2 linked regions of the Xenopus tropicalis genome follow. The protein of the gene in region 1 interacts with the protein of each later gene in a pairwise test. Links are inferred from orthologs where the notes say so. Each region holds a gene or a part of one and is shown on either strand. Other genes may lie near its edges.

The links.
Region 2: the proteins of kcna3 (region 1) and cav1 come close enough for resonance energy transfer, tested with the Homo sapiens proteins (2 studies listed by BioGRID). The link is inferred for Xenopus tropicalis from reciprocal best matches to the Homo sapiens genes KCNA3 and CAV1.

The regions. Positions count from the first base shown.
Region 1 is NC_030678.2:52,492,722-52,499,696, reverse strand, and holds the start of kcna3 (potassium voltage-gated channel subfamily A member 3), read right to left. Parts: upstream 3,747-6,975; 5' UTR 3,433-3,746; coding exon 1,852-3,432; 3' UTR 545-1,851; intron 1-544.
Region 2 is NC_030679.2:68,067,174-68,073,511, reverse strand, and holds part of cav1 (caveolin-1), read right to left. Parts: intron 3,510-6,338; coding exon 3,339-3,509; intron 1-3,338. UniProt on the Homo sapiens protein: May act as a scaffolding protein within caveolar membranes. Forms a stable heterooligomeric complex with CAV2 that targets to lipid rafts and drives caveolae formation. Mediates the recruitment of CAVIN proteins (CAVIN1/2/3/4) to the caveolae.

The sequences.
Region 1 (6,975 bases):
CAAGGAGGCTGCATGTTCTTCCTGTGTCTGCATGCATTTCCCCTGGTACTCTGGTTTCCTCTCTTATTCTAAATGCCATACAGGCCAATTATTTGTTTTCACGTGAAACTGACCCAACCGTGTATGTGTAAATGTGACATGGACTTAGATTGTGAGATCTATTGGGAAAGGTACCAATTTTAAATTAATAATGAACAGTCTGTATAAAGCACTGCATAAATGTGTCTGTTCTTATTGAAGAATAAAATAATTTATTACTGATAATAAATGAGAGAAGACATATTATTTTAAGCAGCTGCTCTCAAAAGGAAAATATTTAAATGCACTGTGGATATTACATTTGTTCTGCGGGATATAATGTGGGCAAATGTCCAGATCTGTTTAGCTATATTTGACAAAACGTGTAACCTATGTCATTTTTATGTAACCAGAGCAATCAGCAGAAAATGATTATCATGATAATCAATTATACTAACCATTCCTCAGATATTAGGGCCATATTTAGTATTTATAAAAGCACAAACAAAATGTTGACAAGGCTCACCTTCCTTTATGTTGCACCACTTCCTTTGGTGAAAGGGTTGAATAAGACAAGGGTGGCATTTTCCAGTTGAGGTTGCCTTTCAGTTATTCCCTAATTGCCATGGTCTGTTTTTCCTGATAAGGCTGGTTCACTTCCCTTACATAGTTAAGTGCTGATGTGTTTTCAAATGTATAAAGTGCTTTTTTCTAAGATGCTACTGCTTATTTTCTTTCAAGTCATTTTTATGTGATCATTTTACTCAGTTTGATTTACCCTTTGCAGCAGACCCTTCCTTGTAGATTTATTACAGTCATATTTGTTTTGTCTCACAGTTAATTCTTTGGAAGATTACTTTATACTTTTCAACAAGAGGCTAGAAATGATTATTCATTTCCTTCATCACAGGTGACGTTCTTATTTCCATACCTATTTTGCAAAGCTCTCTGGGATTAACTTTCTCTGAGCATTTTCCCAACAGCAGCAGCATATCTGTAAGTTGGAGCCATCTGGATAGTTGCTATGGGAACTAAAGAGATACCATGACAACGAATAGGGTTTCCCAGGAAACCTTTGTTGCTATGGAAACTGCATCACTGGGGTCAGAATTAGTAACTTCCGATGAAAAGCAAGTCCAGCAGTTTAATCTTCTGGCATGTAGACCTGTTACACATAACATAATCTAAGGACATTCTGAATTTTGTTATGCTGCTTGGCACTATCATAGACATAAAAATGCAGTTTCACTGCAACTTTATAATATGTAAAAGCAGCTTTAAACAAATTTTTTACTGAGTGTTGATCTACTTATACATTAAAGCAGAAACATCTGTGCTGTTCTGTCATAAAAAAATAGAACAGAACAATGCGATTTTTCTGCAGGGATTAAGGACTTCATCTTTTTTTAAAAAAAAAAACATTGTAAGCAGGAGCCAAATAAGAATGGTTAAATTGAATCATATTGCCCTCAGAAGGATGCCTGAGAAGTAATTAGCAATAAGGTGGTGTTCCTTATGCACTGATATTTAAGAGCTAAGCAGCAGCACTTAATTGAGAGAAAATGTAAGACTTAGCAACCCGCTCCCGCTTTCTTGCAGAATGTTAAAATAAAGGCGATAGATGGCAGCTCCCCGAAACAGCAGCTGAATCGCTGGCTGTCGCTCACCAGCCCCACACCAGCCCCACACCAGCCCCACACCAGGCTGCCGGCACCGTGTATTTAGGTGGAAGCGCTCAGAAAAGAAACAATGAGAGGAACACGCTGATGCCGATGCTACAGTGACTTTTCTAGTTGCTGTTGATGTATTCACTTGGCAACAAGTGTCTCGCAGTTACACATCGGTAAAGATCTTCTTGATATTCACACAGTTTGGGTTGTTTGTTGTGCAGTTGCCCGTTTTGAAGGCCGGCTGTTTAAAGGGCCCCGGGCTGACCCCTTCCTCTATGACCATATACTCTGATTTGCTCAGTGAGGAGTTGCTCCGTGCCTTCTTCAGATCCTCATTGGAAGACAGGTGCTGGCAGCTCCCTACGTGCAGGTACTGAGCCTGCTCCTCTCCCTCCGTCTCCCGATGGTAGAAATAGTTGAAGTTAGAGACGATGACAGGCACCGGCAGGGCGATTGTTAACACCCCGGCAATGGCACACAGAGAGCCCACAATCTTTCCCCCAATGGTGACAGGATGCATATCACCGTATCCCACAGTAGTCATGGTGACCACCGCCCACCAAAAGGCGTCCGGGATGCTATTAAACCCAGAAGAAGGGTCATCAGCCTCTGCGAAGTAGACTGCGCTGGAGAATAAGATGACTCCGATAAAAAGGAAGAAGATGAGCAGCCCCAGTTCCCTCATGCTGGCCTTCAGTGTCTGCCCCAGGATCTGCAGCCCTTTGGAATGCCTGGAAAGCTTGAAGATCCGAAAGACTCTGACCAACCGAATGACTCGGAGGATTGCCAGCGACATCGCCTGCTGCCCGTTTCCTTGGCGCTCAGCCAGCTCAGTCCCCAGGGTGATAAAGTAAGGGATGATGGCCACTATGTCTATAATGTTCATAATGTTCTTACAGAAAGTGGCTTTGCTCGGGCAAGCGAAGAACCTGACCAGCAGCTCGAATGAAAACCATATGATACACAGGGTCTCCACCACGAAGAACGGGTCGGTGAAGGAGCTGCTGATGTACGGGCCGGTGCCATTGCCAGGGGGCAGAGCCGTTCCGCTGTATTCCTTGTCGTCTCGGAACTCGGGCAGCGTTTCCAGGCAGAAGATGACAATGGAAATAAGGATCACCAGGACGGAGACGATGGCGATACCCCTGGCAGGTCCGGAGCTCTCAGGGTACTCGAAAAGAAGCCATACCTGCCTCTGAAATTCATTGGGGGGAAGCGGCCGCTCCTCTTCCCTGATAAAGCCCTCATCTTCTCTGAACTTCTCCATGGCTTCTTCCCCCAGCTCGTAGAAGCGGATCTCTTCTGAGAAAATGTCTATGGGAACGTTCACCGGTCTCCTGATCCTGCCGCCCGACTGGTAGTAGTAAAGGATGGCATCGAAACTGGGGCGGTTCCTGTCAAAAAAGTATTCGTTCCGCAGGGGATCGAAGTATCGCATCCTTTTCTTGGGGTCGCCGAGCAAGGTGTCGGGAAACTGGGCTAAAGTCTTCAGCTGGGTCTCAAAGCGAAGGCCGGATATATTGATCACTACCCTCTCACAGCACTCATGGTCCTCTTGCTCGTAGGCTTCGCTAGAGTGGTGCCCCGGCAGGGCAGCCGCCTCCTCCAGGATGTTATCACACGCCACCACAGTCATGATCTCCTGCTCCAAGTCCGTGTAGCCTGGGTTAACTATGTTCGAGTTGGTTCTGTGTCTGGTGGAGGATGGAGGAGGCGAATGCAGGAGACTGAGGTGCTCGTCCATAAAGGTGAGATGAGGGGTTGGGCGGGTAGGAGAAGCGCGGTGGCCTCCTCCTTCAGCCCACTACATGAGCCGCAGGCTCCCCTCCCAGCTCTCTCTGGTAGAATCTTGTTGCGTCTTGTATATTAAAAGCATTTGCGGAGATTCCTCCTTTTTACCTCCCAGACTATGGAATCTAGCTGATGGAGCGCACACAGAGATATATAGGTCTCCTTCTGCCATCCCTTGCTCCTCCGACCCCTCCTTTCCCGCCAATTCCTTCCCGCCCACAGAGAGCGGGCAGCTACCACCTGAGGGAAGGAGGCAGACAAGGATTGTGTGTGTGAGGAAAGGGGCTCTTGTAGCTCTGTCTGCCTAAACCTACCCATCCATCAGCATATCTGTATTCTATTCCTATGCCCAACTCTATGGCTGGATAAGCATAAGGACAGTCTCTTTTCTGTCATCATTCTATTATTATTTATTAACATTTATTTATAAAGCACCAACATATTCCGCAGCGCTGTACAATAAGTGGGTTTCATACATTGGACTTACAGAGTAACATATAAAGCAAGCAATAACCGATACAAGAGGTGAAGAGCTTACAAGAGAAAGGGTTGAGACACAGGGTGTTCTATCTACAGGGGCTTATAGTTTTCACTTAAAAAAAAGTCTTCAGAAAGAAGTTAAATGCTATTTATAACATGATATCCTTATAAACTAAATGCTGCAAGAATCTGTTCAGGATGTATTTAAAAACAGTGATGGGGGAATTGGCCCTTATTTAAGTGGCACTATCTTTAATTTGGGGGGCAGGAAGGGGCAATGGGCACACACCAGGCAACAGATGAGAGGGGCAGAATACCTGAAAGAGCTATAGCTTGCACATTTATTGTGGGAGATATCTTGATTGGCTATGTTGTGGTTGAGTGCAATGCTCCTAATTCCTTTTCAGATATTTGCGCAAACATTTTTTTGTGCACACATTTTGAAATGTGCTCAGGTCAGCATAAATGCAAAATTCTTTATGCAAACCATTTGTTGTGTGCACTAGCCTTTAAACTTGACAGAACTTTGGTTGAGTGTAAAGGTCCCCATACACCTTCAGACATCGCCAAGCGAGTGGATCTTCTCCCGATATCCCCCACCTACGGGTGGGCAATATCGGGAGAATCCAGGCTAATTCAATCGTTTGGCCCTGGGGATTGCGGATGAGCCAATGCGGTCCCCGATCCGACTAGATTTTTTAACCTGCCCGATCAATATCTGGCCGATTTCAGGCCAGATATCGGTCGGACAGGACCGTCGGTAGTGCCCATACATGGGCCGATTAACTGCCGAATCGTTTTAAGGGACTGATATCAGCAGCTAGAATCGGCCTGTGTATGGGGACCTTAAATATAAAAAAGTAAAGGGACACAGAAACACAAATAGAGGGACATGATTTGGCACAAATTTTGGTTTTGCCTACTTTGTAATCATCCGGAGTAATGAAGCATTAGGTACTCCAGCAGTTTATGATATACACACTGTCTATTCGCTGTTCCTTCTTGACATACTGTGTCCCCAAGCATTTCAAGGCACAGTCTTCCCCTAAACATTTGATGGCATAGTCTGGCCCAGGCATTGCGGAAGATGATTTTGGGTGGGGAAAGCTGGCCTGCCTCCCCCCATCAAGTAGTACAACTGGGCAAGATAGTAAAATTATAGTACAGCTAGCAAAACAGCGAATTTCAGCTCAAAACTGGATTCTCTTTGGTAGTGGTTTTCAGAGTTTCTGGTAGGAGCCAACCCACTACCCACATAGGCAGGTAAGATGAATGAAAACACTTGTTGAATCACAAACTTAAACTGGCCATGCACAGCAAGATCTTGGGACAGGACCACATCAACACCCTGATGCACTCCTTATCCAACAGGATTCTTAAACCTTACTGACTTACTGACTGTGTACAGTATGCCCACATTAAGCCAGGTTATGACTGAATTAGGCCCAGGAACCTATTTGTGTCCTTCTGTGCTCAGTAACAACCCAACAATAATATCAGAGCAGATTTTATGAAGTGGAAAAAAATATACATTAGCACATTTATTTAAAAGTCAATACCATGATGTTTCATTTGATGCTTGTTAGGAGCAACCCTATCATGCTACATACATTTTCTAAAAAGTTGCACAAGAAGAACCTATAGAAGAAGATCACTGCACAGAGCACTTACAGAAGTACGCCAGGCTGTTGCAGTTTTCTGCTACTCATAAGCACCCACCCGGGGTATCAGGTAAGTTATTATAATCACTGGGGGCTGCCTAACTGATTTTTTTTTGTTGTAACTTATAATTTTATTTTTTCAAAAAGAAAGCAAACAGTAAATGTACAGCTTATACAGTCGTTCTTATAAAAATCAACATAGTAACAGTATGGTTCGGTTCATATAGTTATCTTTTGTTAGTCTACACATTCTACACAAATAGGGTTTATGCCTGACTGGTTGTGCCATCAGATTTGTGTTGTACTGTGCATACCAGGTTTTAGAGACTGATAGATACAGGTGGAGGGGAGAAATAGGGGGAAAAGGTACAAAGAGAAAACTGGGGTTGACTGGTATTCACTGCATCTAAGTGCCCTGTTTTGTAGTTAGGTCATGTTGGAGAGAAGATCCCAGGGAGACCAGATTTTAACATACTGGGTATTTTGTTTTGTATACGGGCCAGTCTGTATTCAAATTGCATGGTATTATTGATTTTTCCGTTTATTTCTAGGATAGAGGGAATGCATGGGAATTCCATTTAGCTGCTATGGAGATGCAGGTGGCTGAGAGTATCTGGTTGACAAGTTTTTGTGTAGATTTTGAGAATTGTTTGGAAGGTTTCCCCAGAAGGAGGATTAGGATATCTTTATCAAGCGTCTGAGATGTAACCTGCCGTATGAGTGTTAGAATCTCATCCCAGAAAGTCTGTATCTGGGGGCAAGACCAGAAGATATGAGGCAAGTCAACTGATTTTTATTGTGTTGGGTTGAAAAACCCAACATACTGTTCTTTGACATATTCTTGGCTTATTCTTCCACTTCTTTGCGCCCCCCATTTTCTTAATGCTACTCCTTCTACAGTTTTAGGGGTACAACACCCAAACTCTCCACACTTCTTTGCCCTATAGTGTAGCAGGTTGCTTGTGCTTTTCTAAGCGATTGCGCCCCCAGTTGTTTTGTGGCGCCGCTCCGAACCCCCCAATTTTCCCTTTGACTTTGACAGGGAAGATATTCAAACTGCTGCCACACTTACAGCTTTGAAGCTACACTCCCCAAACTTGAATAACATAATCATGGGGTCACCCCGAATGAAACAGCGACTTTGTTGGATGACCCCAAAGTTGGAGAGGCCAACAACAGCCAATAAAATTTTATCCATTGACTTGGAAATGGGAAAATTTAAACTGCTGCCACTCTTACAGCTTTGAGGCTACACTCCCCAAACTTGAATCACATAGTCATGGGGTCAGCCTGAATGAAAATGTGATGATTGTTGGATGCCCAAAAATGGGCGGAGCTGTGAATAGCCAATCATG
Region 2 (6,338 bases), on another chromosome or scaffold:
TGGTAATGGAACATGAACATTTTAGGGAGGGAACAGTGGTGATCAATAGAGCGTTTTGGTGCCATGGTCCATCTCTCACCTCTCCTCATGCACAAGACAGGGCAATTTAATCAATAAAATTAGAAGCTAAGACAGGAGGATGGGGCATTTGGTCACTGCTGTTTTCCACTGAAGGGCAGTGTAAATTCTGTAGGGAGGGTTATGCTTACCACTGGGTTATTGCCGGATTTCCTCTGAGACAACAAAACAGCATTTTTGTAAAAATCCAGAGATAACATTTTCCAAGGTGACAAGTTCACATCATTGCATGAAAAATAAACCTGGAAGGTGTTTCCCTCCTAGCAGCATGGAATGTGATGCTTACAGAGCAGGTTCAATGCCAAGTTTATTGTATCTTTCATAGCTGATTTATGTGCATTTAGTTTCCATATACTTGTGACCAGATTCAGCACACTGACAGAGTGGGAGCGTCTTCATACTTTCCATGCAGCTGCAAATTGTGCTTGGAAGTCACACCATATTCTGCGTATGTTGTGTCAGTGCAATGTTTTCCACTCAACTGTCTCGGCAGGTGGTTTGCATTATTCATTTTACTAACTTCTTTGGATATCCCAAAGCAAATTCCTTGATCTCACAGGATAAAGTTTGCTGGCCTTTTCCATTGGGTATGCACCATGAGCTTCTAGCCACTGGAAAGTTTAGCAAAGCTGTTGAATGTGGTTTAAACTCATGCTCACATTTGTAATGAAGGCTCAAAGTTTGCCAAGGTGCAGAAACCCATATCCTGACAGTCAGGAAAGTTTAAATGATTTGACACTTTATGTGTGAAATCATGAAATATTTTGAGTCAAATCAATTTGTATAATTTCTACACTAAAACAACTGTTTAGTTTAAAGCTACCACTGACTCTTTTGGAGTTGGTAAATCATCCCCTAAGTCTTTTTTATGAGCTTACATAGATACTGCACAAAATAATTTAAATAATTAGAATGCTGATATGTATATGGATAATTATCTCTTTATCATTACAGTGAGGCCTGTTATAAATCATTAGAAATGCATGAGTTAAATGCACTCATTCTTCCTTTCTGGTTGTTACACTCTCTCTACTGAAAAAAGTAGAATGTGTCCCTTTTTGTCTGTATTCAACTTTGATCTCAGTCACGGACACATAAAGAAAAATGAGATCAATTAACACATGTTGCAGCTTTGTGGTACACAATAAACTGCAATGCAAATGCAGTATAAAATGCAGCAAATAGTTACATAGTTACATAGGGTTGAAAAAAGACCAGAGTCCATCAAGTTCAACCCATCCAAGTAAACCCAGCACACACAACCCACACCTACCAATCTATACACTCCCATACATAAACTATATATACAACCACTAATACTAACTGTAGATATTAGTATATGGCGAGGGCATAAATAATGGGCCCTGTAATTTTAGGGTGCGCCAAAAACCCCACTTTCTAAATTTTTGACTTGGCCCAGTTAGTCCATATTTTTAGTAGATTGTGGTGCTGTTAAATTCAGTCATATCCTGTTGCAATTACATCATGTTAGTATGACACTGAGCTGTTTATTTTAGGTCCTGAACCATATTTCCCTATATTTAATTACATCAAGCCGTTTGCAGATCTGCCACAAATACCACCCACCCAGGGTGCAAACATCCAAGAAACATAGAGTTTGTGCCATTTTTTGCACTTTGCACCATGCCTAGCACTAATAATTTGTTATAATTGTTAGTATATTTGTATTGACATGTAAGCATCAATGTATAAAGGTACATGAATAATTTACATGCACTAGGCCATTTATTTGCTGCAATTCTCACTAGCACCTTAGATCATGTCTGCTGCTGAACTATGAAGTTTTGGAAACCCCACCCATCTTTGGGCTGTAAAAGACATGCAGCTGTGGTATATTCTCCAGTTACCCCTAATATAAAAAATAGGTTAACTGAAGCATACACCAGGGCTCCTTATACAGCAGAGTGAACCTCAAAGAGCTAGCTTTACACTAGCAATGGTTTTAAATGAAATATGATACAGTTGTCAACCATGGTGGAACAGAACGACAGATCAATCACAAAATTGCACTCTACCCCAATCCCATCGTACGTATCTGTTGCCAACCATGCAAGTACAACTGTATTGTAGTAGCCCACACTGTATGTGTGCAAGTCATACTGTACAATTTACCAAAATGTTTGTGGGACAGCACAAGACTCACAACTGTGGGTACCAGATATTGAGTAGGAATGGTGGTGTTGGGATACTGCTATGTATGTATCTTTATAGAAGACATTAAAATTCTTCCCCATGGTCACAATTCTATATGGCCTATATACCTGGCAGTGATATGTTGGCATTATGAGAAGAGAGCTAGTTACATGAGGACATAGGTCTGTGAGTTCTTGGTCCCAGAGAATATTAAACAACTTGGAGGGCAAATATAATGAATCATACTAGGGATGGCGGTTTATTGGATTTCTGGAGTACAGTATGTGCAGCCCAGATTTAAGGGAACATTTTTCCTTAGCACCTGGTCATTTAAGGGAGGGGCCTCAAAATCCTCTATTATATCCAATAAGACTATGACAGAAAAAGGGTGGATTCACTTAAAGCCTTCCCAACTCACTTTCCAAAAACCACAAACATCTCTCTGACAACTTTCCAAACATTTTGTTCCCAAGCTCAGAGGGGAAAACAAATGAGCCAAGTGTAAAAATGTCACAACTTACATGGCCTGCTGCCTGTCATACAGGGGGACCTTTCCCTTTAACCCTTCAGCCCTAACTGCATGATGTGCCTGTGCTTTATCAGCACTGTGTATGTTATACCGACAGAGTGTGCTAAATCTCCTTGTGCTCCTATGATTTGGAATGGGATGATATGAATTGTGAATACTGGGATGCTATACTCTCACTATACACTGGTTTTGGGACTTGATCATTTCAGGTTCACTCTACGGGGGTCACAGTTACCCCCCTCCAGATAATAACAACGTTGAAGGAAGCTATATATTAACATTGCTATATCTGCTATAAAAACATAGTTACAAGAATATCCAAAAGACCAAATATAAGTTTACTTCAAATCTCACCCTAAATGACCTTTACATTTATTTTATTGAGTAAAGTATATAGTAGAGCAAATACGCCCCACTAGCATGACCAGCCCCAAAGTTTGGAAACCACTGGCCTAAAGTGCAGAACAAGTCTATAGTCCCCGAGATAAGGGACGTCTCCCTGGCACAAGTCAATGTAACAATATAACTTTCTCACATTAACCTAGTGTCAGTACATGGCACATAACTCCAGTCTTACCTTCACCACATCGTCATTCAGGTGCTTGGGGTCCCTGTTGACCAGATCGATCTCCTTAGTGTGCACGTCCCGGGCAGCTGTATCCATCAGGGTCTCACCTGCCATGGTCTTGTTATTGGGCTTGTAGATGTTGCCGTGCTCTCTGATAACCGGCGTGGTGTAGAGCACACCCTGGGGGAGCGGGACGGCCGAGAGCGAAGAAGAGAAAAGACAAGCGTTAGCGCAGTGCCACCATAGATGGGAATAGGGGGTGAGAGCTGTGGCACAGAGCTGCGCTTACTCCTCTCACACGGTGCTACTAAGGCTTGGCTTATAACTGGCTCCATGCACCACACCACACCCCTCTGTACCGCAGCACGGACTCTCTCCAGCAGGGGTCATCGGATCGGGAATATTCCTCATTCCTAGGGGATTCCGATCCCCCTCGGACCCCTCCCAGGCAGGCAACCCCCCTGCCACACCCCGAAAGTTTCCTTTCGCACCACACCCGAGGGCGCCCTCCATTCCTGCAGCCCTCACTGCCCTTTGTACAAAGCGGCTGCAATTCGACTGGACTACCAAAGGGCTCAGCGCTGTTGCGAACCAGTAAATGTAGCTCTGTAATCCTCCAGCTGTAATCAAACCATAACCCCCAAATCCCCTCACAGCCAGACCAGTAAATACAAAAACAAGGGTTTTAAGTACATTTAAATGTAATGTACTGTTGCACTGCACTGAAGAAAATATGTTTGTTTCAAAAGCTCTAGTGTATATGGTTATGGTACAGGTATGGGACCCGTTATCCAGAATGCTTGGGACCTGGGGTTTTCCAGATAAGGGGTCTTTCTGTAATTCGGATCTCCTACCTTAAGTCTGTTAAAAAAAAAATGATTTAAACATTAAATAAACCCAATAGGATTGTTTTGGCTCCAATATAGATTAATTATATCTTAGTTTGGAAACAAGTACAAGGTTCTGTTTTATTATTACAGAGAAAAAGGAAATCATTCTCAAAAATGTGAACTCTTTGTTTAAAATGGAGTTTATGGGAGATGGCCTTTCCGTAATTCTGAACTTTCTGGATAATGGGTTTCCGTATAAGAGGTCCGATACCTGTACTATGTATTATTCCATTGCAAATGATATTCAGATCCCATAAGGTTAATGGCACACTGCCTTCCTGCACTCTGTAGCACTATGGGAAGATGCTAAATCCTTAAAATGCTCTTCCCATTCACTTTAAATAGGGCTTGAGCATAGTGGGAAACAAAATGCTCAGAATCACAATGTTTGCCATTATTCACATATTGGACATTACATCCCCCCAGTGAAATAGATTGCTAAGTTTTTTTCCCTAGGCTGGTGCTCCTTTTAGGAAAGAACCTGTGGAAAAAATTGAGTGCCACACTGTCATCTCCTTCCTTGGCACTTGGCATTCTGCACATACGCAGTAGAGTAAAATCTCGGGTATGCACTATTGCGCTTGCATGAACAGGAATTAACACTGGGGATGCCTGGGGCCGCAGTAGAAAGTGGAGTAAAATGTTGATGCATCGCTCCAGTTTTTTCCGCAGGTTCCTAGCAGGAGCACTTAGTGATCTATTTTATATTAGCGACCTAACATTTTGGGTTGAATATTTCCTGACCCACACATCACTAGTCCACTGTAGACCTCACTCCTAATTTTAGTCAATAACAGGCATGCAGTCAGGACCCTTTCCTTTAAGTACCATTAAGAATGGTGACAAGCAGACAAGGCATTCTATACCCCTGCTTCTTTCTGATGGATGGTAGCCATGGACTAGTGATGTGAGTTTGGGCAGGCCAATCACTTTTTTTGCTTGTGGCAGGTGAATGGAGGGCCAAACTATTCCCACGCCCCCCTCCCCCCATGACATCATTATCTCTTTTGCCCACCTGCTGTTGCTCTTATATATGCTCTCCCCCCTCCCTGCTGACTTCAGTTATATCAGAGAGGGGCAGGCACGTGTATATAAAAAATTACAGCTGGCCGGATTGGGGCAGGTTCAGGTTTGAAGAGGGCAGGGTTAAGTCAGATGTGGTGGACACTTTTTCTGTAACGTCTGATGTGCTATTACAATTAGGGCTGTAGGGCCCATATCTAAATAACATAATATGATGAATAAAATGGTTTGGTATAGGCATGAGCAGATGAAATACTGTCAAACTGGAGAGACCATCTTCAACCAACAGGATTGCAAACTGGCCAGTTCAGATCCCCCCCCCACCTGACATATTTAGATGTTTAGGTAGTGTGGTCAAAATCGTCCAAACTCCCTGACCAGATCTGGTTATGTATAGCCAGCTTTACACACCTTTGGGATGAAACCATTTTGTCTACAAAACAGGATTAGCGATGCCAAGAAATATTTTACAAAAGTTGGACATCCTCAGGTTATACTTCTCTGTCACATCATTTATCTGGTTGCCAACTGGGAACCTCCCGTTTTCCTCTGCCACAAGCCAAGCACTGAACAATACAATTTTTGTCTTTTATATACAGTGTGTCCTACTTCTCCCTTGTTTTCTTCCAAAACACATTTTTCCTATAATTTATTCAGGTTAATAAAATTGATTCAGAAGAAGCAAAAGAAGTGCATAAAATGATAAGAAACAAAGTCATAATTATGTACAGTCAGCAGATGTGATAATTCTGCAGTGGGCAATGTAGGCCCTCCACAGACATATACTGACGGTGCTTGATCTTTGCACTTTGCAATTATTTTTTTTTTTAATTTTAAATTCTGTCTTTTACTATTTAGGCCTTTGTCTATTGATCTTTCATAGTGACGTTAAAAAACACTGATTGGACCTAGTAACCTAGATTATAGTTTAAATGGCAGATCATAAAAAGCACATTAAATGGAACTTTAGTTTAAAAATCAATTCATATAGTTAATTTTAAAGGTTCAGTAGCGATTTAATTCACTGAGGGATGCCTAACATTTTGACTCCTGCTCTTTTCAGAAATCCATTAAGCCATCTCCATGTCTACATAGC